Schizosaccharomyces pombe: one gene and its partners. Changing the gene in region 3 together with the main gene of any one other region gives a genetic interaction. Each region holds a gene or a part of one and is shown on either strand. Other genes may lie near its edges. The genes, in order: alp31, top2, pds5 and ypa1.

Region 1 (6,649 bases), 1.5 Mb from region 3:
TATAAGACAGGTATTTGTATCAAAGCTAATTGAATCAAAAGCGAAGGTATGGTGTAAATATATAATATTTCCCTTATGATTTTTTCTTTTGCAGGCGAAAAATAATCGTAAAAAATGGTGTTAGCGTTAATCCAAGCGATATATGTATATCTTGAAACTAAGAATCCAAATTGAGTGCTGGCTATTACAATACGTTATCGCAATTTGTATACTAAGAATTTTGTTCCAAAGGTTTTTTTTTTTTGTTTATAAAACACAAAATTAGCTTGACTAATTTTTTTTTTTTTTTGTTATTTATATTGCTAGCCAAAGATGCTTTCTGCATTTCTTCAACCGCAGAGTCGTACTATACAATCCAACCACATTACAAAAATAACTTTTTATTTTCAATGGGAAAGTATTACTTGAGAATAGTTATAAAACAGACTGCTTAAATCTGTCAGCTGAAAACGCTTGTGCCAGAACATTACTCAATATCAATCGCGTATTCATATTCCTAGTACTGCACCAAAATCCTTTTATAAAAGCAATCGCTATACTTAAATAGTTTAATGCATTTGTCAAAATAATGGCTGGTGAATTTAGGCAATAGATGAATTGCATGTAAATCTCAAAAAAAAAAGGTTAAACTATCCATCAAGTAAGAATCATTTAGCGTCTGACAAACATACCAATAATATACAAAATTTTGCAGCTCCTATATACGATGGTTCTCGATTTACCTGTAGTAACAATCAAATTTTTATAGTCCTTTCCTTGCGTTTTTAGTCAAGAAATGCCTTAGCTTTTTTTAGTCGATAAGCCATCTAATTCCATAAGTCAATTAATTGTTTGATATTACTAGGAACGTCCAGGTTGTAAGAGAATAAGGGTACTAGTAAATCCAAAGCATTCCAAATGCAAGTCTAACGAATAAGTATAAATAAAAATAAAATTTCAACTTCCTGCTTATAATTTTAACAGTTCATTCAAGTTGTTATCAATTTGCCAGAAATGTGTCGACAAATGTTCTTAATGTTTTTTTAACGATGAATAACTTAAGTACCAACAGTGAATCAAAATTTGCTCCTTTTCTTTAGAGATAATTATGGACTATTATGTAAATAACCAAGAATGGCGCTTAGGTTAGGATACTGTTCCATTTATATTTACAAGTGGTTGACATAATATTGATAAACACATAGAGAAGAGTCATTAAAATATTAGTCATTAAAAAGAAGAGAAGAGGCAAAAGAATCGAAGAAGACAATACAGCTGAATCACAAGTCAAATCTAATCACGTTAGACGTAACAAAGGTTCGTCAGCAACAAAAATAAAACGCTTCCGTTTTATTTTACTCCCGTAAAATTAAACAAGAAAACAGCAATTCAGGAAAAGAGGTCGGTAATTAAAGATATAAAGGGATCATTTATGAGAGGAAGTGCTCCTTCTAGAAAGGAATTTACGACCAGAGTTTCTTAAACGTTTGCTATGTTGAACTAAATCATCGACAACCGTCTCATATAACAACTTATCGCTAAGAGCTGAATCCCTTTTATCGGTCCAATATCGAGCAACTTCAACAGCTTGCTGCAGAGTTGATTCTAGTAACTCTATATGCTGTTGTAAAGACTCATGAGATCGGTGGGTTAATGCGTCTTTGTTTATGCTGCATAAACGACGAGCAGCTGAATAATCTAAATATGGTTCATCCTCAGATTTTGGCAACGTCACGGAAGACAATTCTATTGTGCGTGAAGAATTGAATGATCCCTGGGTAGAAGGAGTAGGCAAAAGTTCATCCAAATCAACAGGAAGACCCATAGTAACTAAAAAAATATGCCTGATGCTAGACCTCAGCCAATCTGGCCGTTGCAGCACGGGCATTTCAATCAGTTTTTGCCAAAGAGACAATATACGATCCGGATCCAAGGAGGATTCTTCAATTGTTTTCGGAGTTTCAGGTAGTCCAAATACAGAATTGACAGCATCTTGGAAATCATCTTGCCAATCACCCATAAATGTACAGATGGGGATATCATGTTCAAATTCACCAAAATCGTCAAATTCGTCAAACTCTTCTTCCTCTTCAACTTTTTTCTCCATTTCATTGTCTACAATGCCTGATTGGGAAATACTAGCTTCTCTATTAATACTAAGACTCTCCGCCCAAACAGTTGATGTAGCGTCAAGGTCAAGTTTAGATGCTTCAACGACTTTTTGGTTTTTAGAATCGTAATCCTCTACAGGATTTAAATCATCTTCTTCAAGAAGGTGTGGATCTATTTTTGTATCAGCTCCCTCTTCGCCATCTACATCTTCCTTCAACGATGAAGATGCAGAAGGGTCAATATTTACTTCAGAGTTGCCGCCGTCAGATTTCTTCTCTTCTTCTAAACCCAACACAGGTGATTCCCTTGATAATATTGGCGGACTTGCCATAGGTATACAAATGGAACGTTTTATGCTCCCAATCTGTTTAATGTTCACGCGAAGTGTTTCTTTCTCTTTGCTCAGATGGTAAGTAACGTCAAACAATGAGCTGTACAATCTAACATAGTGATACGCTACATTACACTCACAATAAAAGTGCAAATAAATACTAGAGGACGACTGTCTATGCTGCTTGTTAGCAGGAACATTTGGTTGTTTTAAAATTGTTTGATTGTCCAGCTAAAATTTAAATCTCTAGTAGAATAAAGGGGAATACGTATGTTTTTTTATGTGAACAGTTTCACCTAACTGGCAAAATTAGAATAGATTGGCGAAATCTTAAAAAAGATTTAAGCATGACTTGGATAATCCTTAAGTAGTTGGGATTGTCTATTATTTTAATGGATTGGAATAAAAATCGAAGACACAGTACAGTTGAGTAGGATAGCATTGAAAGGGTGGGTAAAGAATGATGAACGTAGAACCTTTTCATGATCGTCTTTTGAAGGGTCAGTAATAAATTTTAGCAGGGATCTACAAAAGCTAGTAAATGTGTATTCAGTGGTACCCATTCGTGGGGAAATTCGTTTGCTCTTTTTCAATTACTTCTTTTGCTTTTTCTAAATATTCATTTGCTTGTTCAAGTTCAGGAGTTCCTTCGTATGCACTGTCAGAAGAAATGGATTCCAAGTCGTTCGTCGCATTACGAAGACGTACAAGAGCATCTGGCAACGCCTCAAGATGCTTCTTCAAAACAAATTTCTAGAGGTCCAGAATGTCAGTACTTTGATTATTTTTTATTTTAAAAAAGATACGCTAAAGCGGAAACCACCGAAAAGTATCTTCAGCTTGGTAGAAACATCTTCTAGCACAACACGTCCAACGTTTATATGGTTTCAACTAATGCAACATACCTGATGCTCAATTTCTGCAGAATCTTCCCCATTATCAATTTTACTTTGTACACGTTTCTCGGCCTCGTTAATATCGATATGAGCCAACTAAACAATTGTTGAGGTCAGAAAATTCCATCTACAAAATCGCGATCCAAAAAGGAAACTTACTTCTACATCTTTAATAATTCTTTTAACGACATTAGTTTTGATGACTAAGCTCCTAACAGTATTTGACATGGTAGAAAATAAAATGGACGCGATATGCAAAGGAATAATGTTAGGTTGGATGATTTTCCTTGACTGCAGTGTAGGTAACGTTGGAATACAAAGGAATGCTAATGTTAGCGTGTGGTGATAAGTTACGAGAAACGATTAAGAAAAGCTAGTTCTAGTTAAGTTTTCAATTTCTTTTAAAGCCCTTTCCTTAAATTCCTAAAAAAGGGTATTTGATTAAATGTTTGCATCAAGTATCAGACTAGTTATTGATCGACAAACGTTTCATTCCTATATTATGTATGAGATAAAATTGCTCAGTTATTTCTAAATTTACGATTCACCGATACTTGTACCAAAAATTTCATGCTTTTATGGATGCTCAATCATATGGGAGGTTGAGCTTTTCGGGATTCAGCTATATGAAAATTTTCTAGCGCGTAATTCATTATATTTAGACGTAATTGCTTTTACAAATATTTTCCAAAACAAAAATTTCTGATTCTCCGTACACACAGTTATCTCCCAACAACCGAAATTGTTAAAAGCACGATTTCATATAAGGATAGGTTGATTGCTAATCACTCGAACCACAGTCTGTTAATAATTAGTCAACTTTGCCTAGCCAAAAAAATTCAGCTTCTATCTTAATCCTTGGAAAACAAAAAATAAAAAAAGGACCTAATACCCTCTTTCAAAGTAGATCCTGTACAAGATATTTAGTCTACTCAAAAAGCCGGTACAACGATATTAATGTCAACAGACTTCGGTATAATGGGACCAGTCTTCAATGTGAGGATAATAGCTAAAATCCTTTACTCTATATAGGACTTTAAATGGATCCTTGAATATTATTCTGTTTTCTAAAATGATTGATCATATTCTACGCCACAGATGCATCAAAAATTCAAATCATCGCTTGGGAGATAAAAGAGTGAACGCTTTTTCATAATCGAACAGCAACCTTTCGAACCCTAGTAGTCATTAGTATTTTAATCCACTTTTTTTTTTGCAAAGCTATGAAAAACAAAGACTGCAACCTGGTATAAGCATTTTAAACATATCGTACTTTGCGTGATCTAACAAATTAATCTCTATCTTGTCAGTTCACAACTTTGGACAGATACAGATGATGAATTTCGACAATTAAACATTTGCAAACAAGTCAAAGCTCAACATACAAGCATTCACTGTTTAACGCTTTTTGAACTTTCTCATTTCCTGAAACGTTTGTTTACAAGCTGATATAAAAAAAGGGATTGAATTGAACGGCTCAGTTGATATAGATTAATTTAAAAAGTGAACTCCGTTTAGAAAGTATCGCATAAGTTAAAAAATGGTATTCAAACAAAGCTAACAAAAACGAAACAAATCGCATTTTCCCATGAAAAATACAAGGTTGTTCGGAAAACTGCATATTTGAACATGATGACAGCCAAGAAGAAAAATAGAAGGATTTATTAGAATTCCCTTAAACTTTTCATTATAGTCTTTTCGGTACGGTAACAACCATATATACAATCTATACATTTCTTCAGACCATTCAAATCTTAAAATGGAGCTCCCCTTCAATTGAAGAAACGGAAAATTTTTTCTTGTCAAATTTTTACAGACTACTAACCTACTAAACAGAACCTCATTAGTGGTAAAGTCCATTTTAATACTTCTTGCTTATTAATTCATTATTTTATTGCCGTAAAACATAAATTATCCTTTTATTTTCTTCTTCTTTTCTTCCCTTGTATAATACTCATTTTTCGCCAAGTCTCAAGTATTCCAGTGTTCGATTCCGACCATGGAAACGATCTCGGTCGGGTAAAATGAAGACTCTGGTAGTCTCCAGGCTATTGCATCTCGTTCAGATTTGGGTTGATCTTCTGGAACAATGCGGGCAACTGGTAGAACGTTAATGAGGGAACAGATGAAAAACTGGAAACCTAGATGCGTGACAGGAGAATCTGGTGTTCTTTTTTTTTGAATAAGTATATTTAATAGTTAACAATATCGAACATGGTTTTAGTTAAAAACCATGCAGAAACTACTGAACGCAATTAAGTTTAATAGTTCTTCTACTTACACATTTTTTCAACCGTTACTTTACTAGTATAGTCTGGAAATATATATATATAGTTATTAACATGTAACTATTACCTTTTTTAGATAATATTTAAAAAGACATTCTTCCCATCATCCCGCATCTTGACTGTACAATATAATACCGGTACTTAATATAATAGTAAGACGAACAGTGATTTTGAGCTTCTTTCGGATCTGATATTGCTATGGGTGGAAAAAGAAAATTTCGGATGGATTTAGGATTAATGCAGAAGAGAATTTGAGGTAATTGAGTATCATTTTCAAGCGAATTTTTGCAAAACGAAATTGTGTTGCCCTTATAGAACTCGCCAACTTTTGGTTCCTCTTCCGAGTCCAGTTCTTTAATCGCTTGCATCTTGATCGAGAGAAGCGAAATCATACCCCAAATGGCCAAAATCACTTGGCCATTTGTTAATTTAAGCTACCTTTGTCGTCCGACGCTCCCCTTCTTAATCATGGGATTTTATCCGTACTTTCTCCCCGGATTTAAGAGAAACTCGTAGTATTTCACGAAAAAAAAAGAAAAGATGAAATGAGTTTCCAATTTATAATAAATGAATTGTCATTCTCACATTTATGAATTGGATTTCTATATTTTGCGGGTTACACTATTTTGACTCCTATGTGTGTAGCCTAGTTTCTCGCAGTTATTCATTCAAACTTTCCACTCAGCCATCACAATACCCGATATTATCGGTTTGATGGATCTACTAGTGTCACTCGAGTAAAACGACCGTTTTGTCTATTTGCGCTATTTTTTTCCTCCTTTGCAAATCGTTTATTTACACATATATTTTTTCCAACAACACTATTTAGGACTGCTCTTTCTGTGTGTCAAAAAGAGGAAATTTTTTGTATAAAAGCCTTGGGTCCATTGCCACAAAGCAATTTTTCTTTCTGGTTGCCAAGAGTGCCTTCTCTTACTATTAAAAATCTTTCGGAAAAAAATTTTTGCTTTTCATCTAATCAAAAGCTATTAAACCGGTGTTCATAAATTTTACTACCACTTTTTGTTCGCTAAAATATTTTT
Region 2 (8,611 bases), on a different chromosome or scaffold from region 3:
ACAATTAATCAATAAAAATTAGGTCAAATCAAATCATATGAATTTATTCTACATTAAACCCTATTACAAAATTTTTTCAAGTTCTTCAACAACAGCCTTAGTAATATCAGCGGTAGAAGCCTCACCTCCCAAATCGCGAGTATAAAGACCACGTCCACCAATTGAAGTATCATCCAAGACCTTGCGTACGGCGGCTTCGATAGCTTCAGCCTCCTTAGGAGCATTCAAACCATAACGAAGGAGAAGGGAAGCAGATAAAATTGTACCAACAGGATTAACAATGCCCTTGCCAGCGATATCGGGAGCGCTACCGTGAATGGGCTCAACCAAACAATGAACCTTTTCTTCTGATTTTCCTACCACACCGGAAAGGGAGGCAGAAGGCAAAAGGCCCAAGCTACCAGGAATGACAGAAGCCTCATCTGAAATAATGTCACCAAACAAGTTGTCAGTCAAAACAACACCGTTAAGTGTACGAGGGCTCTTGACCAAAAGCATGGCTGCGGAGTCAATGAGCTGGTTTTTTAAGGTAAGGTGAGGATATTCCTCCTTAAAAATCTTAGCTACAGTCTTGCGCCAAAGACGAGAAGTTGCCAAAACATTAGCTTTGTCGAGTAATGTGACGGGAGCAGGAGGGTTGGAAGTTTCAGCTAACCAAGCAGCCAAACGAGCAATACGAGAAACTTCTTCCAAACTGTAAGGCCAAGTGTCCATAGCATAACCCGATCCGTTGTCCTCAGTGCGCTCACCAAAGTAACAACCTCCAGTAAGTTCTCGTACAACACAAAAATCGACACCTTCAACGATTTCAGGCTTCAAAGGGCTGTACTTGACTAAAGACTTGCTGGCAAAGTTGCAAGGTCGAAGGTTGGCCCAAACACCCATACTCTTACGAAGCTTCAATAAACCTTGCTCAGGACGACAATTGGGGTTGGTCCATTCAGGACCACCAACGGCACCCAAAAGAACACCGTCAGCTTCCAAACAAGCCTTCACAGTCTCGTCAGTCAAAGGGGTTCCATAGGCATCAATAGAGGCACCTCCAATCTTGTGTTCTTCAAACTCGAGTTTTAACTCAGGTCGCTTCTTCTCAACGACTTTCAAAACCTCCAAGGCAGAAGCAACAATTTCAGGGCCAATATGGTCTCCTGGTAAGACGACGATTTTCTTTGCACACATGTTGTTGAAGAAGTTTTGTTGTGAAATGGTTTCGTGAAAGTTTCAGACCCTACCGCAAAAATGCCTGGTTTCGGGAAACTCAACACTGTTGCACTTTTTATACTACAGATTGGGATATCGATAATATTGCGTAAAAAATCCTTTTTTTAAAAAGCTTGTTTACAGTAACGTAAATGACCAGAAATCAGATGAAAATCACAAGAAAGCAAATAATTCACGTTAAATCCTGATATGTTTGATTTTGTGATGAAATCATGGATGTTCATAGGAATTGTTGAAATTGCGCTTTTTTAACGAAATATACAAGTATCCTGGAGCTTACTTAATTAATTAATGAATCTTTGTTTCTAGATATTAAAATAGTAGCCTCAATTATCAGCGCTTTCTACGTTAGTAAACGAAATTTTTAATGTCAAAAAAATGTTTAATAGACAGTACGAATATGCATTATAATGTTCATAAATAATTTGAGTATGTGTACGAGTTGTCTTTAAACCCACAGAGGTAGAATGTATATATAAAATTAATAAGCTAAGTGTAATACTTAAAAAATACATTAATTGGAACTCGTATCCTACCATTTACAATGTTCATCCAATTTTTTCAGATTGTACTGTAAATAGCGTTTGAAAACACCAAATTTTAGAAGCTAATCACTCTCATCATAATCGTCTACATCCTCATCGTTATCGACGATAAAAGAATCATCTTGCATGCTGGGTTCATCCATGCTATCAAACGAGGGATCAACGTAAATAGGTGTTTTCACTGTAGCCGCTGCTCTTCTGGTTGGCCTCTTTCTAATCGGAGAATCTGAATCTTCTGGTGGCTCTGCGTTAGTCGAACTAGCTTTTGGAGTTGAACTACTACCTGGAATAATAAAATCATCATCGTCATCTTCAGGTGATTGTTTCTTTACCGAGCTTGCTTTTTTCCCTTTATTCTTCGCAGAAGCCTTCGTGGATGTTATGGTGGAAGGTTTCAAACTGCTAGGCAACAAATCATCTTCATCGTCTGAAGAAAATATGGTAGTAGCAACTGGTTTATTAGTCTTTCTTCCTCTTCCAGACGCCGAGGCTGCTATTTTTTTGACGGGTTTTTTACTACCTGCGTCTTCAGAGTCAACAGATTGACTTCTTTTTCTTGATTTTCCACTATCACTGCTATCCAATCCCGGGCTCTTAGATATGCGATTTTCTTCAACTGATAAGCCATGAGAGTTATCCTCTGTCTTGACAATGTTTATGTCAGATGATTTCTCAGGTTCTTTCGACGCTGCGAACTCAAGTAAAGTTTGTTGCTTTCGATTTGTTGTAGATGGTTTGGATTCGCTGCTAGCTTCTTTTTTAACAGCAGTACTTGAGGAGGATCCGGCAATAGCCCTGGGTTTCCTAGTACCAGTGGATTTACCTCGAGGCTTCTTTTTCGTTCGATTTACAAAATCTCTAGAGGATTGCTCTTCTTCTAACATTTCTCTCTGAATATCATCCATAACCTTATTCCAAGCATGCTCAAATGCATCCAAATCATGAAGCCACAATTCTTTAGGAGTTTTTTTAATCAAAGCATCCAGTTCGGCCATTACTTCGTCCTTTTTCTTGAGAAGTTCCACATACCGTTCATAGGTCAAAGACCATAAAGGCATTGAAAGAAGGTAATTGTAGGCATCTGAATCCTCGTCTTGCGAAACATCACCAGATTGTTCTTCTTCAGCAAGAGCATTTTCAACTTCTAAATCAACCAAATGCCCTTTCTTTGGTTTACTGATAGGTTGAAACTTCTTTTCCTTCAGCTCCACAATGAGATCCTTTTTCTTCTTTTTTGAAACTACAAGCTCCCCCTCTATAATCATATGAATAAACCGCGCTTGATTTGAAAATCTATCAAACCTTTTTTCCAATTCATTAACCATATGCTCTTTACGTCTCTGGTATGTCCTTAAACGTACTTCGTAAAACTCGGTCAAAATATCTTCAACACTGTCATACTTCTTGATCCGTCCAGATGCATCAAAAGCAATCATATTACTCGTTGCTTGAGTACGCGACAGTTTAAACTTAACTTCCAAGGATTCATTTAATGCTTCTTTCATGCCAGCTTCGGTAAGCGTGACATTAAAGTGAACATTTCCTTCACCGTGATGGCTTTCATAGTCCACGATGAATTTACGAATTTTTTCCGTACCAACAAGACCAGCCTCCAGATACTCCTTCATATCCTGAGTCCAAAATCGTATAGGCAATTCAGTAATTTCTACTTTGTTTTCACCAATTTGGTTAATTATACCAGATATTTTGTACCTGTCAGGCGCAACTTTCGTTATACTTCCACGAAAGCCGCGGTACCAGGGAGTCATAATTTCCAAAGGCTCGCCATTAAGCATATGTCTTAAATTAGCAGTTATATCCTTAGGGTTATAATTAGGAATAAAAGTAGACCAGCCAGTACCAATACCTTCGGCTCCATTGACAAGTACCATGGGAAGAATTGGCACATAATACTCTGGTTCAATCCACTGGCCTTCGTCGTTTTGGTAATTAAGAAGCTGGTCATCATTGGAATTAAATAAAACACGTGCTAAGGGTGATAAAGCTGTATTTAGATACCTTGAAGCCGATGCATTTTTTCCACCCTCAGATCGTGTACCGAATTGTCCATTAGGCATCAGCAAATTAATGTTGTTACTGCCAACAAAATTTTGGGCAAGATTAACTATAGTTTGCTCCATCGAAACCTCGCCATGGTGGTATGCAGTTTCACTAGCAACATAGCCGGCAAGTCTACTGACTTTAGTTTCATGGACGAGATTGCGTTTAAAACAATAATAGACAACTTTACGCTGACCAGGCTTCAAGCCATCTACTACTGAAGGAATCGAACGGATATTATCAGCCATACTGAATTGGATAAGCTCTCGATTAATGAAGTCATCAATCGGAATCTGAGGTTGAGTATAATCCATATATATACCAGGTCGATACGTTCTAAGCCATTCCTTACGCACATCGGCCTTTTTCTTGGCAAATGCCATTTCAATTAATTCAGCATCCTTCTCCTGCATGGCATGAAAGTACTTCATGTGACGATCAAGGTCTGAAAAATAACTTTTCATATCGTCATGGTCACTTGTTCCCAAACCCTTGTAGTATTTAATTTTCCAACCACGTCCATTGTTATTAGCTTCCTTCCAGTATTCGTACTCGGGTAAAGTGTAAAATGCTTGAACCTGATTGCCACGAGTGCACTTAATGATAGGTGTGATAAATTGGATCAAGAATCCAGGAATTTGCAAAAGAGAAGGATACGAGGATTCTAAATAATTAATAATTAAACCTTTAATATGTGATCCATCATGATCTTGATCTGTCATAATCATTAAATGACCATAACGAAGACCTTTCACATCGGTATAAGTTTTTTTATGAGTGAATCCCATGATTTTCTTGATAGCTTGAATTTCTTTGTTATTTAGGATTTGGGAATGAGAAGCCTCCCGTACATTCAGTAGTTTTCCTCTTAACGGAAAAACTCCATAATAGTCTCTACCAACAACACTGAGACCCGAAACAGCTAAAGATTTAGCAGAATCTCCCTCAGTGAGGATAAGGACACACTTATGGGATTCTTTGGTACCCGCTTTATTTGCGTCTTCGAGTTTGGTTAAACCCGTTATACGAGAACGCAAACCCCCATCGCCCTTACTGAGTTGCTGATCTGCCTTAGCGGTAGCAAATTTTAAAACCTCCTCCACTACAGAAGATTTTTTGATAGCTTTTAAAAATTTATCACTTAATGTGCATTGAGAGCCAAAAGCAGAAACTTTCGTGGTGAGAGTCTCCTTTGTTTGGGAATCAAAGGATGGGTTCTCTATTTGACAATTGACAAATACCTGTACGTAATTTTTTATTTGAAACGCTTTAACGGGTGCCTTTTTATTCTCCTTCTTGACGACTTCATCTATAGCATCGACAATTTTATTGGCAACATAATTAACATGTGTACCTCCACGAATGGTAGAAATATTGTTAACAAACGAAACCTGCTTAAACTGTCCATCTGAAACAGCAAAGGCCACGTCCCAACGGTCATTAACATGTTCATAAATTACCCTAGGAGGCTCTTCATCAGGTTTAGTGTCAGAAGCAAGATACATCTCCACATATTTCTTAAATCCACTTATACTGATGCGTTCATTGTTCAGGTAAACTTTAGTTTCACGAACGGTACCTGCCATATCATAAATACGGCGTTTTATAATAGATACCATATCATCATCAATCTTGTCCATACCAAATTTTGCTAAATCGGGTTTGAATGTAATTTTTGTGTATTCATCGGGTTTCTTGAGAGAAGTGATCACTGGCTCAGACTTTCTGGACATATTGTCATACCAAGTTTGTTTATATTTCTTCATCCTTTCCTTATCAGCTGTCTCAACGACAAATTCAGTAGAAAAAATATTGCAAAGTTTTGCGCCGTAACCATTTCTTCCTCCTGTTACCTTCTTTTGATTATCGTCGTAATTGCTTGAAGTAAGCAAGTTACCAAAAATAAGCTCGGGGATGTAAATTTTCTCTTTATCATGAATCTCTATAGGAATGCCCTTGCCATTGTTATAAATTGATATGACATTTGCTTCAGGATCCAAAGTCACCTTTAGGGTATTCATGTTTGGGTCGCGAACTTTGTTGTCAGCAGCATTGACAATTATTTCGTCAAATATCTTGTAAAGGCCTGGAACATAGGTCACTGCTTTGTAATCCAGCTTGTTCTTCTCAGAGTCAAAGACCCACATTTCAGAAGTCGTTGGCTCAATACTGCCAATGTATGTATCCGGACGTCTTAGCACATGCTCTCTCGGTGTAAGACGCTGGTACTGTGTAGATACATTAGAATTTCCATTTCCGTTGTTGGTAACTAGTGGTATCTGTTCAGAAGCTGTCATGGATGTCAAGCTAGTTTGCCTTAAGTCAGGAGTGCTTGCCTTCTTGGCGCGAGACTTTGAGGATGTTGTAGATGCTTTCTAAAAAAGTTGTTAGTATTTTAAAATAATAATAAATTCCACAAACACTTGCATACCCTTTTGGTGGTTGTGTTAGGTAAAACGTTTTCGTCTCCAGACGCTTCATCTTCATAGTCGGAGAAATCCGCATCAATGGACATAGTTTGTAAAATTAAGTTGGAAATATGTAGTAAATCAAAGGTTATTCCAACGTGTAAACGTTATTATTAAAAAATCAATGGATATAATAATGACACGCTTTAAGCAACGTCAAATAACAAAATTAAGATATGTAAGAAGAGAAAATGATATTTGCCCTTAGTATACGATATTAAAAAACGAATGGAGAAGTGACCTGAAAAAAAAGTAATGGATAAAAAAGAAGGTAGAACGAATGAATACCAAATATAATGTTTTTTGTTAATTTGGATTAATTTTTTGGTTTAAAAAAGTATTAAATAGATATTCAAGCGTTTATATCACCACAGACTGATTCACGTATGTAGAAAGTCGGTCAAAGCAAACGCGTGACGAAAAACTAATAGTATGATGGAAACTTCAGAGATTGTATGTATGATAGTACTAATTTAAATAGTTTGTTTAAAAGCTCTAAAGGGCTATGTGTTCAACTATCCCAACAATGATTGAAGTTGGTAGCTGGTGAAGGATAGGAAGAGAGAACAGAACATAAGTAGATAGAAGTTGCAACCGAGGAATTGATTACTACGGAAAAAGAAAAAGAAAATTATTTTTAAGAATAAATAGCAAAAGAAAGGATTTCTAAATTTCCGTGCGTTATTAATATAGGGATGCGCTTAAAACATAATTGAAGTCTGTAAAAAAACCGTATTTGGAACATATGCTGTAACTAATTTGTAAAGCAAATGTAATAATTAATTAATTGTATAATAAAGAATGTTTGTGCTTTGAAATTAAAATTGAAATTCTTGGTGCTATTTTATATAGTATGGAATAAACAAAGGATTTTGAAAATGGAAAATGAATGTTTAGATAAATCCATAATTCATGAGTATGCTCGCAAAGATTGTAAAAGAATTGAGTGACCTATTACAGTTGGTCATTTGAAAGAAAAACGCTAAACACGATAAAAAGAGATGAACGGAAAGCAATGATGGAAACAGAAACTGCTTTTTTAAATTCTTCTTGATTGTACCATCAGCATTAATCCATATTATTTCGATTAAGCTGTTCTTGAAACATTGTTGTATGTAACTATCATTAAGTTCAAACAATTTAATAGTAATTTTGTGAATATAGCTTCTCCCTCTATTTAACAATTGCAGGTATGAAACAGGAACAAAAACATAGAAAGAACTCTCAAACAACAGACTCATCTAATAAATGCAATAAACTTTTTTCTGAAAATCTTAAAAGAAGCTGCAAATGTAACAAAAAATGGTAGGCCCAGCAGATAGCTGATGCATGGGTTTAAGTATTTCCATTATTTATCGATGTTGCCAACCAATTCCCATTAATGGACGAAAAATAGTGTGAAGTCGATTGTTTAATAAGGAGAGTTACAAAATGGAAGCGCAAGACAAACGCATATTCGGAGTCACTCTTTCAAGGTATAAGCAAGCATTGGATAGCCAAAACGAAATGTGTAGGATCTGAGCAAGAAAAATGCTTTTTGAAGTATCTCAGACAGCTGCTCATAAGTCAGTAAGCGATAAATTATTTAATGGAAGAAAAGAGTGGATCAATAGATCGGCGGCTTCTTTCATTGGATATTCGCACAAAATGTTAATTGACCTAAATTTGAGCCATCTAACATAACCATCACTTCCCTAATTTCCTGTGTATAATAGTCCAAAAAAACGGAATCGGACATCGCGAACATATTCCGCTCGATCAGAGCAGATCAAAAGGTTGATTCTTCAGTGTCCCACATTATAAGGCTATTTCTCGCTTACCAAGGAACACATCAGACCTCCTGAACTTATCCTCCACCAACGTCCTCTTCATTTTAAAATTCATTTTATTGAAAAAAAATCATATTTCTAGCTATCTTGCACCTCTATTTGGCCTTTGCTTATCCCCGGATCCACGTTGGATATTTGCTCGCCTATCGAATAGTATATTAAAAAAAGTTCGCTTGAGAAAAAAATTATTTGTCAAAGTCGAAAGTGGAAAGACGTTTTTAAAAGAAGTATTTTGTGGCAAAGAAGTCAATATCTAAGAAGAAAAAAAGTTTCGGTTGATCTGTAACTAAAATCAGCGTCAAAATAGCATCACCAATACGTCCGAGTGAGAAGCATCAAGGTTCCTCAAAATCAAGAAAAACTTTACCAATATTACTTCTATTGTTTTATCTAGCATTAAAAATAATTTCATTTAAATACAATCCTAGAGCGGGATTGTTGAAAAGAAACCCAACCTAATCTTAGTTTATTTGAATTTGCTCAGCTA
Region 3 (9,671 bases):
TGTAAGGGGATGCTGATGCTGGCGAGCTAGTTTCTGTTGCACAGAAGGGTCATCACGTAAATCAATTTGGGTACCAACAATTAAGCACGGGACGCCCGGACAATGATGATGAACTTCGGGAAACCACTTTTCTTTCACATTTTCAAAACTGGCAGGAGAAGTTACACTAAAACAAACCAAAAAGACGTCTGTTTGAGGATAGGATAAAGGACGCAAGCGATCATAATCCTCCTGACCAGCGGTATCGAATAAACCAAGAGTGTATGGTTCATCACCGATCATGACAGTGACAGCATACTATTTTAGTCAGTAAATCTTTACTATAAAATGAAAATCAGCTATATCAATTAAAAACGGGAGTAAAAGCAACAAGAAAGTTAGAATAGTCCCCAATATAGCAAATAGCAGAAATAATAACGACCAAATCTTCCTGGGAAAGAAAGTGGTCGCCTCATCTTATTCCTTACGAGATAAGGCTTCCTACGGTCTTTAGATCTAGTGTGGAAAAAAAAAAGCATCGGATAAAAAAAAATTATTAAACTTTCAATAGTTTCTGAGATAAAATCGATAAATACATTGAGTCATTGTTTAATCCTTCAGCCTTTTTTTGACAAAAAGCCTTATATCAAAATTTTCCGTGACCGAACATTTGAATAGTAAAAAATTTCTAATATGGGGACAAAACTTCACCAAGTACTTCATTCCATAAACAACTAATTATACTTACATTATCGAATACAGTTGGCACATAGTCACTAGGAAACTTGTTTGTAGTATAGGAAATAAGCAGACAGGTCTACATTCAAACGGTCAGTATGTGTAAAACTCAAAAGAACAATTTTTGGAAAGAAAGAAATAAAGGGGAATGTATAGACAAAAGAAACTTCATTTTAGATGATAGCAATTCTTGTATTTTTTTATGCATTGCTTAACTTCACCTTCCGTAAACATCAACTCACCTTTCCTACAGCACCGTCTCCTACTACGACACACTTAATGGTGGGCATACTATTTCACAAAAAATAATTAATCGTAAAGCTTTGCTTCACTTTATTGAATTCCTAGAAAGTTCAAACCCCTAAGTATCAAACACCGGTGTTGGTTGTAGGTAAATATATTGTGCGGTCACCGTAATTAGTTCGCCCAGCCATGCTTTATTAAGATATACTACAGCGGCTAATCCAATCTCACTATTAGATTTTACGAATTGTAAAGCGTAAAAAAACTCAAAAATGCAACTTTTATTATTATATTACTAGGAATGAAAAAAATTAATAGATGCAGAAGTTATGGAGGCATGTATGTGATGGAGTCATCTTTCAAAAGTTTAGGCAATTAGCAAGCATAGATTGTTTAACAAAAAAGATAGCAATTTATCTAATTAACATTGAAAATTCATTGGTAATATTGGGTAAGTGTTCTAGTATCGGTATTTCGCATCCAAATAAGCCTTTTTTATAAATCCTCTATTTCATCAAAATCTTCTTCGCTAATTTCCTCCTCTTCTTCGCTTATCTCCTCACTTGAAGACGGTGCTTCCGAATAATTTATACGAATCCCTTGAAATCTTGAGCTACTTCGTTCTGGCACGTTCCTAATATTAGGATTCTGCTCATTTAGCTTTCTCCTTTTTTCGTTTTTCCTTCTTCTAGACGATTTTTTATCGCTCTTTGAGCTATGAGTCTTCTTTTGCTTCAAATTTGCGTGCTTATTGGTAGTCTGTTTCGCAAAAGATGAGACTGGTGTCCTTATAGCATGTTCAATCTGACTTTCCATTTTAGGCGTTATGAAGATTTTATTGAAAATTCTCTTTTTCTCATCTATAGAGGGAATTGGTCTTAAAATTTCGTAAGGTAATTTAATTTGCTTTGGATACGTAGTCAAACTCCATCCAAAGTTCTGGGATTTCACCTGCAATATTTTCTGAGCCATGTCGCTTAGCACATAAATGTAATTGTTTCCATCTTCAATAACATCATAGCTTTGTTTTATGCGTTGCATTAGATGAAAAACGATTGGGACGTTCTCACTATTAACAACAGTGTCAACGTAAAAGCGAATGTATGCAATAAAATCAAGCGAGTTCTCTGATTCTATCGAAGATATGTCTGGATGGTGAGAGAGAAGATGGATAAGATATGTTGCTACATATTCCATGGTAAAATCATGGGTTTTCTGGAAAAAAGCAACCTGAGAACGTATCCATATAGACGCTTTAGTCTTGATCTCCTCTTCCGGATCAACAGCAGTCAGGAACAATAAAGGATAATAACTAATTGGCAACTTTTTAAGTTGCAGCTGCTTCTGAAGCTTCGTCAAAAATAAATTTCTCACGTCAAAATTTTCATCTTGGCATAATAAGGAGATTTGAACGTAAGAACTAAAATCTATATGTTCCGCATAAAAAGGAATGGAACATAACTTTAAAAAATATTTGCTAGCAGTGAGACGTAAATAAGCACGAGAAATTTTGGGAGTATTCTTGAACGGACTTAATTCACCGTCAGCCATTAACAATACTTTCAATAGCTTAATGATAGGAGCTCCAATATTTAACGCTTCGGTTCCTCCTGCCGCCGCCCTCAGTCGATTAACCAAAACCCTAATTGCTAAAACTTTGCACATGGTAAGATTATCTAATTTTTCGTAAGTACACCATTCCTCATCATTATGCGTATCATCATATTTTTCAGGAAAGCGCTGTATAACTTTTTTTACTAAAAATTCTGTAACTTGGTCAGCAACCTTCTCTACCTCTTCTAAAGTGTATAGAAATAGTTGTCCTAAAGTCATAAGCCGTACAGGAAGTCCTCCATTATACTCCAAATTTTCCACGATATTCGTTATCATATCGAGTTTGAATTCTTTCGTCTCCGTTATAGCGATAATCGTCGCTGCCTGTTTGGCTTGTTCCTGTGTTCCATGTAGACACAACTTTCGTAGTATTTCAGCAGTTGTTGTTTGTATAGAAAAATTTTTTTTTCTTTTGGAGAATTGGGAAAGAGCTTTAATTACTTTAGGATCCGATTCAATGCCCGAAGAAACTATAATATTTTCAACTTCTATAACAACCTCTCCATATATGTTGGGATGAATTAGCGGTAAATGCTGTAAAAGAGCCTCCGACGGCTTAAGGAAATTGTGGTATTTTACAGGTTCATTTAATAATTGAATTATTTCATGCACGTTGCTTTTATTAAAAGCAAACAGAGCTGAACGGTAAACGAATATTCTAAAACATTCAAGACTTGCGGTACTCAACGTTTCAGAAACCCTTTTAAATAAATATTTTATGCTTTTTAAAACAACTTGATATTCACTTTTAATGGAAAACGTTTGTAAAAGCATTTTGTAGCTTTGACGATCATTAAGTTCCGCAAATTTTCTGAAAGTGGCTTCTGTTAATGTAGGATTAGAACTTTTTGATGATATGATATCAATCACCTTCTTAAGCTTGTTGGTAATTGACTCTTCATCATTATCCATAACACCTCCATTGTAATTTTTGCAGCACTCAATGTAGTAATTTAAGAGTTCCGAATACTTAACTTGTCTTTGTAAAAGTAGAATAAAAACTCGCATCGCTTTTTCACTAAAATACTTTATTGAAAGGAAAAGCCTGTTTAACCTTGTTTGCGTATCAGAACTAAGGTATTGTAGGACCAGTTCAGCCATACAAATTTCAACAGCCGCATTAGTTGTTTCATCATTAACATAAAATACTTCCAAAAGAGATGAAGGGATCCAGCTGAACATCTGTATTGAGTATTCCACACCATCTATAAGGTCTTGATATGCTCTATTATAAATTTGACTTAGTGTCCGAATTGCTTGTAAACGAACATTGAGTTTACGATCACGTAAACGGTCACCCATGAGTTTCAAAGCCTGTACTGAAAATTGCATTTTAAAGGTTTCGAAAGTCAACTGTTCGATCGTTTTAAGAGTAGCAACCCGCACCTTTTCATCCGTGTCGGCCAACTTTGATTGAAGCATTTGAACTACGTTTTCAATTATCTCAGAAGTAGCCAATGAATTCTGAAGAGCGTTGGAAGCAACTTCAATGCATTTGATACGACATGCAACTGATTTATCATTGAGCCGACCACAAAATGCACTCCATACCCTAGGATAATCGGACCATATGGCGTTGTCTTGGAGCATCAAACCAACAGTTTCTATCGCCACAAGTCGCACACTAGTTTGTTCAGCTTGCAATTCATTTTCGAATTGTGGAATAATGTTCAATAACGTGGTTGGTGCATATTTCCATAATTGTAAAACTAAATTGTGCGAGAATATAAATTCTGGAGTAGTCATGGAGTCAGAAAGCGAATCTCTTGAATCGAATATAATATCTGAGAAATACTGGCAAACATATCTTTGTAGTCGATCTGCTGAGTCATGAAAAATATTTCTCGCTAGTTGAAAAGCTGGACCGTGATTAGTAGAATCGGAAGAGCCAATTGTTTGCCTTACGCCCTTTCCTGATATTAGTTGAGCAAATAGTATGTTCAAGGCAGCAGCAGGAATGGTGTTAATCTCATTGATCAACTGGTTAATAATATCAAGCATGTAAAACTCGACATTCTTGGTAGTACCCTTTCTCGCTAAATCAAAGAAGAGACGAAAGATATTTACTAAGAATTCTTCAGCATTCGGGAGATCAACTATTAGAACTGCAGATTTAACGTTCGACAAACTCTCTAATATCTCGTAAATTTGTGGATAATAAGTAGATTCTTGATTCATAAGACCACTAAGAATTTTGAGAATTACTTGGAAAATATCTTCCAATTGTGATAAAGTGAAGGGCGCATCGGGGGCACATAAACGAAGCAATTCAACAATACAACAAAGTGTATAAGAGCGTATCCCTTTATCTTTGTGATGGAGCAAATTGTTATTTACTAATGATCGTGCTACTGGCAATACTGAGTCACGGTCGATAGTATCTTGGGATAGGCTAGTAAGCTCTCCTAGTAAATCACGTAGTCGTTTTAAAATCTCGGAAGTCGTTAACGGATTGTCATGTGTTGGGACAATGTTTCTTTGAAACTGTAACTTTATCATCGCAAAAGTTGGCTTTTGCACGCTTTTGTACTATTCACCTTGGGTATTTAACAAATAAATGACAAATGCAGTAAACTTTCAATGCTCTATATCCATAAGAGCCATAGGCTGATTTTATTAATTAGTACTTCGCAATATTGAAGCTTGAAAGATGCGATTTCAAAATGTGGTGCTCAACTCTTTATTACGTTCGTGTTAGACTCGCAATGTACTTGCTTAAAGAAGAGACGCGTAAAAGAACGCGTTCCATTTATTGTAATTAAAATATTACACTATTTACTAATAAGTATAACTCAAGGGTAATGATAAAATATTATTAACGAGTGAATTAGATATAAGGACATATGAGTGAAAGAAATTTAATAGTTTAAAAGTAGTTTAAAGAACGAAAGGTGCTTGTACCAAAAAATTAAAAATTAAAATAAAAAGTTAGAATAAAGATGAAAAGCGGAAACTGTAAAGTACAAGGCAAGTAATATACACGCTGATAAACGATAAAAATCAGCTAAAGCGTCTTTTTTTAGGAAACCCATTGTTCAACATTGTCAAACAATCAATTCAAGCTTTAATAATTGATAACCATATAAACCGCTTTTCTTAAGAAAAAGTCGAAGAGCCATCTTTTTAAAAAACTAATATAGGAAACAGGCAGTTTGATAATTATCATGCATTGTTGAGATATACAATATCGTAACGCAAACATTAAAAAACGGTAGCGTGTCTCATGTGCTGCTTCTTCTGCCCATACGCGTTTTCTTCTTTGAAACAACCTCCAAAAGTTAAAGGCGAAACTGCTTGAAGAATTAAAAATGAGTTTTCCGTATTGAAGGAGCTGGATACAGCCTTCTGTTTGGATTTCAATTTATTAAACAAGAATGGTATACGTGAACCCCAAAAAGATTTATCCGTCTTTCCTGCTAATAAAGCTCTTAAAGAATCTGAAGCACAATTTAATACACGTTTAGGAGCAACCATAAGGTTAATCTTGCTTTCTACTGGTGACAATGGGGCTTTCTGAGAAGTGGGCCTCTCAAACATGCTAAATGCACGCTTGTGTTGTTTCTTAGTTGGCTTATTTTTCATAGGAGATTCACGTGTTTCAACTTTGGCATGCTTAACCTTATGCTTGGGACGGCGCAGTAAAGAAACCAAGCGGTTTTTAGCATTATCGATTGGATGAAGAGTAGTAGAAGCATAGATACCATCTGCAATTGGTACAACCGGCCTCGTTGAGTGTTTAAGATTGATGCTGCCATGTAATGCCGGTTTTTCTCGATTTAATGAAGTTTTTGTGATCTGAGGAGTCAATTCAATGGAAGAAGAGTAAGTGCTGATTGACGAAACTGAAGAAACACTAGCTAAAGATTTTTGAGAAAGCAAACGGATGGGAGACGGACGCAGTGAGGTCGCTTCATCATCGTTATACGTTTCAAATAGAGACACATGAGACCGGAGATATGCGTGATTCATAATTGCTGACATTCGGACACGTTTTGCTGGATCAGGAACTAAAATTTTTTTAAGAATGTCGCGAGCTTTGCTTTTAAAGAACTCCGGAAATATTAAAGGAGTACTGCAAATATACCGATAGAGTCGAGGGACATTTTCTCCATTTGGATTGTGTGGATCATCGTCAAATGGTAGATACCCAGCCAACATTGCATATAAAATGACACCGCAACTCCAAATATCTGCTTGTGTGCCAGCATACATTCCAGACTTGCAATTCACTAATTCAGGGGCCGCATAACAAGGCGATCCACATGATGTACTAAATAAATCTGGCTTTTCCGTGGGCAATGAGTGTTCACTGAGAGTATTAAAGTGCCCAAAAGTAGTCGCAAAGCCGAAATCCGCAATTACGATATTTCGATTAGTATCTAGCAATATATTCTCCAACTTCAGATCTCTATGTACCACTCCTCGAGAATGTAAATAGGCAACACCACTTATTAATTGTGCGAACAGTCGGCAAGCAACCGAATCTTCAAGTCTTCGGCGCGCCAGTATATAATCAAAAAGTTCACCACCATTAACATAGTCTAGTACTATACCAAAATGATGTTTAGTTTTTACAAAATCCAAATATTTTACAATATGGGGGTGATTATTACCCAAACCTTTTAAAATGGCCACCTCTCGCATCAATCGGCTTGTTTGACAGTTTTGCTTCGTAGACAAAACTATTTTAATTACAACTTGCGGTGTTGAGCGGTGAATAGTAGAATTGGCTTTTGGTAAAGGCCAGCCAAGTTTAACCTTTCCAAACTCGCCGGTACCGATTGTCCTTCCCAATATATAAGAGCCAAACGTATAGTTTTTTGTGCTTTTTCTCAAAGTACGGGTCAACCGTTCAGAAGTGTCGTTCTGGTTTTCCGACAGAAAAAAGTGCGTATTACTTGCGGAAGTAAGGTTAGCATAAGGGAGGCTTTCTTTTTTCTGCCATACATATTGCAATTTTGATTTGTTTTCCGGAACTAAATGCTTTTGCTTTTTTAGAGCTTTAGCAGAGGGAATGCGTTCGTTGCAATTTTTGACAGAAGAGGATTGAGCCGAATAAGTAGTCCGTGAAACAGACAATTCGGGCAGCTGGATACTTTTGGGTTCTTGGTATAATTCACCAACAGTAAGAGAATTTCCAGGGAGCTTCGTAGACTGTAAAGGTTTTTCATCTTCAGTCAAAGTATTTGGTTTACTTGGTTTACTTACAGGAGCATTCTCGGTTTCGGACTGTACATGAGAAGAGAGTTTATCTGAACCTGTCATCGAAACATGACCTTGGTTTTTAGACTGCATAAGATGGATCGACAATAATGACTTATTCGACAATTGCAAAGGATGCGATCCATTCATCTTCTCGGTAGAAGAGGTAAGTTCAGACGATGTCTGCATATAATTATTGGAAGAGGAGCTTGCTATGCCAAAGGATTGATGCAAGCTTGTATTGGGGGTAACTTTTGAAGAATTTGAACTGATTTCCACAAATCCTTGTTGGGAAATTTTGTTAACATCGGTAAAACTTTTGGTGTCCAAATTTTTGTTTGAGAGTTTAGACGTTTGCGGAGGGAGTAATAACACTTCACGAGTTTCCAAATCTTCTTTTGATGGAATCTTTTTCGGAAACTCAAAGTTTTCAAAATTCGTTTGCGGCGATGACTGCACAACCAAGTTGTCCGACTGTAGGAAATTGAGATTGACCGGAACTCTCTCTATTGCCGATGTTTTTTTTGCCTGACTAGGTAGCCTCCTTGTGGGGTAAGCAGAATGAGAAACCTTGTTAGAAAAGGATGCCGTAAAAGGGGCCATTGGAGTAGTGTATGATGATGCATTATTAAAAGGCTGAAGTTGAGAGGGCATAGAATGCAGACGATGATTCGAGGAGAAACTGAGTAAAGCTAGAAGAGAGTCATCTCGAATGCTTGGGGTGTAAGGACCACCACGGGATCGATTAGAGGAGGAGGAAGGAATGGCTTGATAAGAAGTGTTAAAAGATGGAGATAATTGATTATCATGGATTTGAGGGAAACTAGAGGAATTCAAACGTTCATTGTTAGTGAAGTAGGGGCTTTCGGAAGAGGGCTGAGGATTCTCATTGCCAGAAAGGTGATGCTTGTGAAATTGAAAGGTAGATCGTGATAAGCTTGAAAGAGAAGAATCCGGTAGTGCACGATCAGTACTGTCAACTAAGCTCAAAGGTTTTTGATAGGAATTGCTTATAATGTCCTGAAAGGATTGCACATCTGAAGTGTTGTTATGAAAGGGTTGAGCGTTCATAGCTTTGAAGAAAAGCAATAAATAAAGATTCAGAAGGCAGTGGGATCAAGAATCAAACTAAATAAATATTTTGAAGTATAAAACGAAACCTAATAATAACCAGATATTTAAATATATTGCTTATTTTTAAATAGTCGTTTTCGGATTAAGCAAGAGAGGAAAATGGTCAAGGAACAAAAATGTGATATATGACCAATTTTTTTTAAGAGAAAGAAAGATGGGAAGATACACGTATTCCAGTTCACAACACGATACAAAAAAAATAGTGAGAAGGAAGAGATAGGTGATTATAAAAAAGAAAAGGAAGAGGAAAAACCTATTTACACATTTAAAGTGGTAGAAAGCCAAAAATAAAAGTTAAGGTGCAAAGAAAAAAAAAGGAACAAAGCAATTAAAAAACAATAGTAAATGTAGCGTAAGCAATGAAAACAGATTTACAAAGCGAAAGATTTGGAATCCGACGCGATTTTTAGTTCGATCCCAATAGATTATTCAACCAAATTGAGAGTGTTGAATGAAGAGACGAAAATATACAAAAAAGAAAAAAAAAGTAAGCGACACGTTTATCTTCGTAGACTATTGATTTTTCAAACAGAAATTAGGAATTGAGGGTTAAAAAATAAAATGTTTTTCAGAGAACAAGGGGAAACAAACAATCGCGAGTATGTTGTAATGAATATTCCTATTCAAAAAATGGAAAAAATGAGTTATGAATTCAAATAATTGTTGCTACGCTTTTCAAATCGTTAACTGCGCTACAATGCCAAAAGACTTACGGCAAAGCCTAGCAAAAGATATAGCAAAAGAGGGAACGACAATGGAAC
Region 4 (6,923 bases), 2.9 Mb from region 3:
CTACTATTTTATAAATTGGAATGTTTAAGATTAGTCAAAAACTATTTTTTTACCCTGGAATGCTGCACTAGAAGGCATTTTTTGTTTCCTTTTAGCCTCCCAAGAGGGATGCAGTTGCTCTGGTTTTTGAGGTGTTTGGTGCTCCGTAAAAGCATTTTCACGAGCAGCACGTTTAGCTTGCCTTTCTTCATACTTTCTCTGTCTTTCTTCACGAATACTCCTTTCTTCAGTCGCTTTTTTTATCAAATGGTTAGCACCTTTACCATACTTTTTTTCCCAAATAGCTTGTCTAGCTCTTTGACCACGACGATTTTTACGCTTCGGGATATCTACTTCTTCTAACTCCTTTTCGACAAATTCATCATCACTTTCGACTGGATCTAAGAAGCCCGCTGTAAGGGCAGGCAGATTAGTATTGTTATGTTTGCCCAGAGGAATTTCCAACATCTCATCATCAATTATAGACTTCCTGTTTATTAAAGTAGCATTTTGAAGAGATGATTCTTTTACACCTTCATTTTTCATAGAATATGACATAGACTTGTTGATTTCTTTGTCCTCAGTATTATCCAAAATCATACCAGTATCTTGATTAACGCCATCGGTGCTATTTTGAACATGGGTATTATCCACTTGGTCTTGATTAGAAGTTGATTTGTTTGACAAATCTACTTTTCCGATGGTCTTAATGGGTTTTTGGGTAGAAGACACAGCCTTTTTATCTGACAACTCTTGTAAATCGGGGTTTAAGAAACGAAGATACTTTTCGAGTATTGAGTTGATGTTTCGAATGGCATCAGATAATTGCTTGGAATTTAAAATTCTAGCAACGGTATTTCTCTGAGCATCCTCAGTCAAATCTGCAGGAAAATCAACATGAAGATTTTCGTTCAGTAACTTCCGAAAATCCTTGTTTTTAAGGATTTTTTTATAATAGCAATAATCAACAAATTTGGTGAAGTCAAATTGTTTGGCAAATTCAAATTCTGCCTCAAAACGGCCAAGAGTATCAGCATCTTCACTGGCTCTACAATTTTTAATTCTTCGTACAAGCTTTTGCCGTTCAAAGGTAGATGCCTTTTTCAATGCCTGTGATATTTTTTTCTTAAATAGAGGTATCTTTTTTGGAACATCATCGACACTTAATTGAGAGTGATGACTTTTTCTTTTGACGCCTTTGTGAGACGTAAAAACCATTTAAAAAATTATGCAAACCCTGAGTATAACCCACTAAAATCCAAAAAAACCAAATGAAATTTCTATAATAGTAAGTTTTGTGTTATTATGCCCAATTATAGCATAACCAGCAAAATATACAATTTTTTACCGATGTGGTGAAGAGTAATTTCACCGTATACGCCCCACAGATAATATAGCATCATCAGTGCTCTTTACAATTAAGGTGAATAATTATAAAACTTAATTTTAATCAATTCATATAGACTATTATTAGAATCAGCGAAGGAGTACCATTCTCTGTCCTGCTGGATTATGAAGCAAGCCAAAATGACTAGCATGCAGTTTTAAACAACATGGGCGCTTATTAAAATGTTTAAACTAAAATCTGGACTTAGTTTGAACAGTAGCCGCTGTTGTGTTCTTCTTTGTTTTAGTAACCTTAATGTTATTTAAGTTCAAAAGAATAAAAAAATTGCTTTGCCTTTAAATTTTACAAGTTATAATCGTTTAAACACGGGTGATTGAAACAGTTTAGATATATTCTTATGTATTCAGCTAATAACTCAGAAATGTAAAAACTGAATTTTAATATGTTCTATTTTTTTTGATTCTTTTAGATTGATCAATTGGAGAAAACCTGCAAGAGTATACATTCAAGCCATCCTCCTAGCAACTGTCGTTAAATAATTGCACCTGCTCTACGGCTTTAGATGCTCGCTCCGGTTAAGCCGAATTCATAGATTCTTTTCCTCTTTTTACATTTTTACACTCTTTTATAATATTCTTTTTATTATCAGCATAAATCAGAGTTAAGTGTATTGAATGAATAAAATCCAGCATATTTCTTTTATCACCAAAAAAAATCCTCTCGTGAGCTATGAGAGGGTTGGAGCGTTACAAAATCGATTTGTTCAACATTATTTAAATTATAAAGCAAATAAGGTTGAACAGCCACCGAAGCCAACGATTATCACTTCTCAAGTTTGTCCAGTGTATACACTGGGAAGAAGGGAATCTTCAATTAATTTTACCAAAGGCTTCCCTAAGGCTAAAGTTGTTAAAGCATTGCGTGGTGGGCAAACTACATTTCATGGTCCTGGTCAAATACTTGCATATCCTATTATTGATTTGAAGTCCTTTGGATTAAGTCCACGTGAATATGTGTCAAGGCTAGAGCAAGCGATTATAGCAACATGTAAAAGCTTTGGCATCGAAAAAGCTCATACAACAAAAAACACCGGTGTGTGGGTAACAGAAAACGATAAAATTGCAGCAATTGGTATTCATTTACGCCGAAATATTACTAGTCATGGTCTTGCGCTCAATGTTAGTACGGATCTTAAGTATTTCAATTACATTGTGGGTTGCGGATTATATGGAAAAAACACTACCAGTTTTAAAGACCAAGGAGTTTTTACTGACTTAAAGTCTGTAGAGAAGGTACTGGTAAATAACCTTGATAGCTTTTTAATGAGTAAATAAATTTAAATGTATTAGAAACAGTATTACTTATAAAAAATATAATGCAATAACAGTAATGCTATTCTTGCGATAATTTGGTTTATTAAAAATTTTTTCAGTAAATTTGCGGGCTTTCCTTCCTTTTGGCCCCTATAAAATAGCTTATCAGCAACCATAAAAGATACAATAAATAAAACATAACATTAATAACAGTGACTATTTGTTTTTGAAATTGCACGAAAGATTAAAGTTAAACTACTTTGCAACTAAAGGGTTAAACGGAAAGAGATTTCCAAAATGAAAGTGTTGAACAACAGGATATTTGCTCAGCACTTCCACATCGTACATTTTTATCAATCCCTTGAAAGTAATTAGCTTAATAAATACACACTTCTTAACATACCTGATTGACCTTTGACCATATAGGAACAGCGGTTATATCATACAATATTGGGGAATGTTCGTAAAATGGGCCCTTTTTCATCACGTTTATAAACTTGATAGCACTAAAATACAAGTTGCTATTAGCTTTTTCATCCACTATTTTTTTGTTAAGTATAGCATCAGGCTTTATGATGGAAGATGATGCCTTATCAGCAAGTTGGGCAGAACCAAAAATATAAGGAATAAAAAAATGATCATCAAGCCCCCAAACTCCATGTGAGCCAGCAGGCTCTAAGCGATAAGTTTGAACGAGCTCACGACAAACTTCCAAGTAAACATGGGTTATGTACAAGGCGATAGCTTTATAATCTGCGGCATCTAAAAGTCCCAGCAAGTCCAAGCCCTTAATAAAACCCAAAAAATTTAACTCATGACCCGTACCAAAGTCAATTCTTTGAGAATTACCAAACGATCCCAAAAAATAGTCCAGTAACTCCACTTTTGCCTTACTCAATGAATCAGGAATAATGATGTCCATAATTTGAGAGGCGGAGTCACGTAGCTTTTCGTGCCATATTCGAAAAGCAGGATTACCAAACCGATGCCGACCTGATGCAGGTGGTACAGTTTTAGTAATTTCTTTAACTCTACACAATATTCGTACTAACTTTTCAACTCTTGTTGAGTATTCCACATGATAATCGTTCACACCCACAGATGCAATATTGAGACGCTGTAAAAAATCAAAAATTCGATAATATGCTTTCGATTGTCGAAACGCCGTCATATCGCTCGCCTCCACGATTAGTTTTTCGGGAGTTTTAAACTGTGAACTTTCATCAAACCTTTCATTTTCAAGCTCTAGTATTGTTTTCTCATCTACGACTTGCATTGTAAAGCAATAAACAATGAATCAATCAAGTTCGCGTATACGCCAATAGATTTACGACACTCACTAAGTTACAGGCTTTGATGAACGACTCTTTATTAAAAAAAACCAGGACCAAGTTAAAGAATATAACAGCAACTATAACAGCATTTAAAAACAGCTTGATATTGCTTTCATCAAGATAGAGTATAATAGCAGTATTCGAGAAGAAGCATTTAGCTTATTCAATAACTTGATTAAGATTAGTTTAACGATAATTAGTACTATGGATGTGATTATATCCTAAAATCTTTATAGTGATGTATCCATATGTTAATTCGAACCACTTCATAACAATACGCTACCGAAATAATTATCTCCTAATCAATATTTAACGATATGTTTATTCAATACAATCGATGCAAGAAACGAATATAATAATTTCAACCAGTTTTTACCAAACTGAAAAACAAATGGGGAGAAGCAGCAAAGATAAGGTATGTCTCGTGCGTTACTGAAACCTTGTAAATACTTAACTTTGTAGCGAAAAGTTTACGTTAATTTTATCGAAGTTATATCGTATATTAATGTGTAAACTTTAATGTTTCTCAGTCGCATATAGAAACATTTTAGTTTATTATTTCATTTTTTTTTTATTGCTAAATAATTATTTAACTATTTATTTTGTTAAAATACTAACTTTACACTTTTTTAGAGAGATGCCTATTATCGTCTGGCGAAGGAACAAGGGTGGAGAGCCCGCTCAGCTTTCAAATTGCTCCAATTAAACGAACAGTTCAATTTATTTGAAGGAGCAAAAAGAGTTGTAGACTTATGTGCTGCACCGGGGTCTTGGTCTCAAGTTTTGTCTCGTGAGTTACTCAAAAACATTGATACTTCCATTGCCGCAGATGAGAAACCTATGATTGTTGCTGTTGATCTTCAACCCATGGCACCAATCGATGGGGTATGCACCCTGCAATTAGACATTACTCATCCCAACACCCTTTCAATTATTTTGTCTCACTTTGGTAATGAACCGGCTGATCTCGTAGTTAGTGATGGTGCCCCAGATGTTACTGGTTTGCACGACCTAGATGAATATATTCAAGCACAGATATTGTTAGCTGCATTTAATTTAGCGGTTTGTGTTTTAAAGCCTGGTGGGAAATTTGTTGCAAAAATTTTTCGTGGACGAGATGTTTCACTGTTATACTCTCAGCTTCGTTTGATGTTTCGAAAAGTTTCTTGTGCTAAACCAAGAAGCTCTCGTGCTAGCTCTATCGAGTCCTTTGTCGTTTGTGAAGATTTTAACCCCCCTTCTAATTTTCAACCCGATTTAACAAAACCTTTATGTGTAATCGATCCAACCAATGCTCATGAGATTGCACCATTTATTGCATGTGGTGACCTTGATGGTTATGATGCGGACGCTACTTATCCCGTTGAAATAAATATGAAAAAGGCTACCTTAGACGTTATACAACCTCCAACCGCTCCTCCTTATAAACGAGCTATCGAATTGAAGCATAGCAAGATGATGTCGTAACCTATTATTCCAATTGTCTCTTTTTTATTTAATCTTTTCTTTCGTTTAATTTAGCAGTGGGTTTTACTATTGTATATTATATAGGTATAATCTATTTTTGAACCTATCATTCTTTTTTCATAAAAAAATTAAAGAAAGCAGGATGTGTTCGGTATACTTATAATCAGAATTTCCTCTTATGAATTTTTATCTAAATCAATTACTTTTGATACACACATGCTTTCGTTGAAAGACTTGCTAGTCATGTTTAACTTTATACCTTGCTATAGCAAATCATGGGGTTATGATTATAATTGTCATGTGGATATCATTTTCATAACTATAAGAGAGGCAACTAGTACTACTCATAGCACGGCCAACAGATACGAGTTCGGTAAATTTCATGGCGTTCTTATGAACCCATAGTATCATGAGGTGTAAGACATAAACAAACTTGGTAAACTATTCATCAATAATGATTTTTTCTTCCAAATTTGCAAAGTTTTGAAAAAATGAAGAGAATAAGACGACTGCATACTCAAAGTCCTTGGAGCCACACATTTCACGGCAAGAGTGCATAGAAAGCATAGGATTTCCTAAATCGAGTGTACGCATTCCTGTCATGGCAGCAAGTTTGGGACCAATAGTGCTTCCACAAGGAGAATCATTTCGCACCACGAATGACTGAATTGGCACATCGGCGAGTTGAGCTACTTTCTTTAAAAGGACTATGCCTGCGGAATTAGTCGTATAACGCTGATTCGCATTAACTTTAATTACAGTTCCTTTGTTCAAAAATGGGGTATTCGAATTTTCATAGCGAGATGAGTAATTGGGATGCATGGCATGAGCCATGTCAGCAGAAACTAGAAAACTTTTTACCATGGAAATTGAAAACAAAGAACTTTCTTTCCCCAGCTCGCATATTCTTTGGAGAACAGCTGGTAAAAACGTGCTTTCAGCACCTTGAGCTGACACGGAACCGATTTCCTCGTGGTCAAAGGAGGGAACAACTCTAACGCAACTTTCATTATCAAGGGAGTTATTTTCCAATGATTTAGTTAAAGCTTGAGATGCGCAAAATGTCATTCCAAGGTTATCGAGACGAGGTGAGAATACAAACTCTTCGTGAATTCCGCCAAGGCGAGCCTTTTCAGCATCACCTAGAATCAACTCAAAATCCACAATTTTGGAAGGATCTATAGTTGTCTCTAATGATTTAGATATTTCATTCGCAAGTAAAGAAAGCAAAACAGGATGGTGATATTTGTCACCATTATCAGAGGTTTCTTCCTTCGCAAGTTCATTTTCCAATCCAATAAGCGGAACAAATTCTGTTTCCATATTGAATGAAAAAGAAGAATTGGCAGACGGATCTAAGTGAATTGCGAGAGTAGGAATGCGTAATAGTGGCCGATCGATATGCACATTATACTGTATAACTCGTCCATCCTCCTCTTCAACCATCACTCTCCCAGCTAAAGAAAGATCTCTATCAAACCA

The links.
Region 1: mutations in pds5 (region 3) and alp31 together harm fitness more than expected from each alone (negative genetic interaction), as found in Schizosaccharomyces pombe (2 studies listed by BioGRID).
Region 2: mutations in pds5 (region 3) and top2 are lethal when combined (synthetic lethality), as found in Schizosaccharomyces pombe (one study listed by BioGRID).
Region 4: mutations in pds5 (region 3) and ypa1 together harm fitness more than expected from each alone (negative genetic interaction), as found in Schizosaccharomyces pombe (2 studies listed by BioGRID).

The regions. Positions count from the first base shown.
Region 1 is NC_003424.3:3,374,045-3,380,693, reverse strand, and holds alp31 (tubulin-specific chaperone cofactor A Alp31), read right to left. Parts: upstream 3,589-6,649; 5' UTR 3,547-3,588; coding exon 3,478-3,546; intron 3,415-3,477; coding exon 3,328-3,414; intron 3,176-3,327; coding exon 2,972-3,175; 3' UTR 2,794-2,971; coding exon of another isoform or gene 2,736-2,793; 3' UTR 2,691-2,735; coding exon of another isoform or gene 2,673-2,690; 3' UTR 2,626-2,672; downstream 1-2,625. Other genes in the region: SPOM_SPAC8E11.05C (uncharacterized protein), read right to left, coding at 1,406-2,422; SPOM_SPAC8E11.06 (uncharacterized protein), read left to right, coding at 2,600-2,625, 2,673-2,690, 2,736-2,793; SPOM_SPAC8E11.08C (uncharacterized protein), read right to left, coding at 4,876-5,178; SPOM_SPAC8E11.12 (uncharacterized protein), read right to left, coding at 5,690-5,998. UniProt on the Schizosaccharomyces pombe protein: Required for the maintenance of microtubule structures and cell polarity. Beta-tubulin-folding protein; may have a regulatory role in the tubulin-folding pathway.
Region 2 is NC_003423.3:1,974,425-1,983,035, forward strand, and holds top2 (DNA topoisomerase II), read right to left. Parts: upstream 6,844-8,611; 5' UTR 6,343-6,843; coding exon 6,259-6,342; intron 6,233-6,258; exon of another isoform or gene 6,203-6,232; coding exon 1,829-6,202; 3' UTR 1,737-1,828; downstream 1-1,736. Other genes in the region: 3-isopropylmalate dehydrogenase Leu1, read right to left, coding at 64-1,179. UniProt on the Schizosaccharomyces pombe protein: Control of topological states of DNA by transient breakage and subsequent rejoining of DNA strands. Topoisomerase II makes double-strand breaks.
Region 3 is NC_003424.3:1,907,444-1,917,114, reverse strand, and holds pds5 (mitotic and meiotic cohesin loader subunit Pds5), read right to left. Parts: upstream 5,268-9,671; 5' UTR 5,074-5,267; coding exon 1,456-5,073; 3' UTR 1,218-1,455; downstream 1-1,217. Other genes in the region: Rho family GTPase Cdc42, read right to left, coding at 1-297, 728-796, 960-1,007; serine/threonine protein kinase Ppk1, read right to left, coding at 5,776-8,847. UniProt on the Schizosaccharomyces pombe protein: Required for the establishment and maintenance of sister chromatid cohesion during S phase. Prevents their formation until eso1 is present. May also have a role during meiosis.
Region 4 is NC_003424.3:4,833,388-4,840,310, reverse strand, and holds ypa1 (type 2A protein phosphatase regulator), read right to left. Parts: upstream 4,117-6,923; 5' UTR 3,917-4,116; coding exon 3,044-3,916; exon of another isoform or gene 3,001-3,043; coding exon 2,896-3,000; 3' UTR 2,721-2,895; downstream 1-2,720. Other genes in the region: BUD22 family ribosome small subunit biogenesis protein, read right to left, coding at 31-1,197; lip2 (lipoate-protein ligase), read left to right, coding at 2,002-2,661; trm7 (tRNA 2'-O-ribose methyltransferase), read left to right, coding at 4,366-4,389, 4,608-5,441; aspartyl metalloaminopeptidase Ape4, read right to left, coding at 5,883-6,923. UniProt on the Schizosaccharomyces pombe protein: PPIases accelerate the folding of proteins. It catalyzes the cis-trans isomerization of proline imidic peptide bonds in oligopeptides.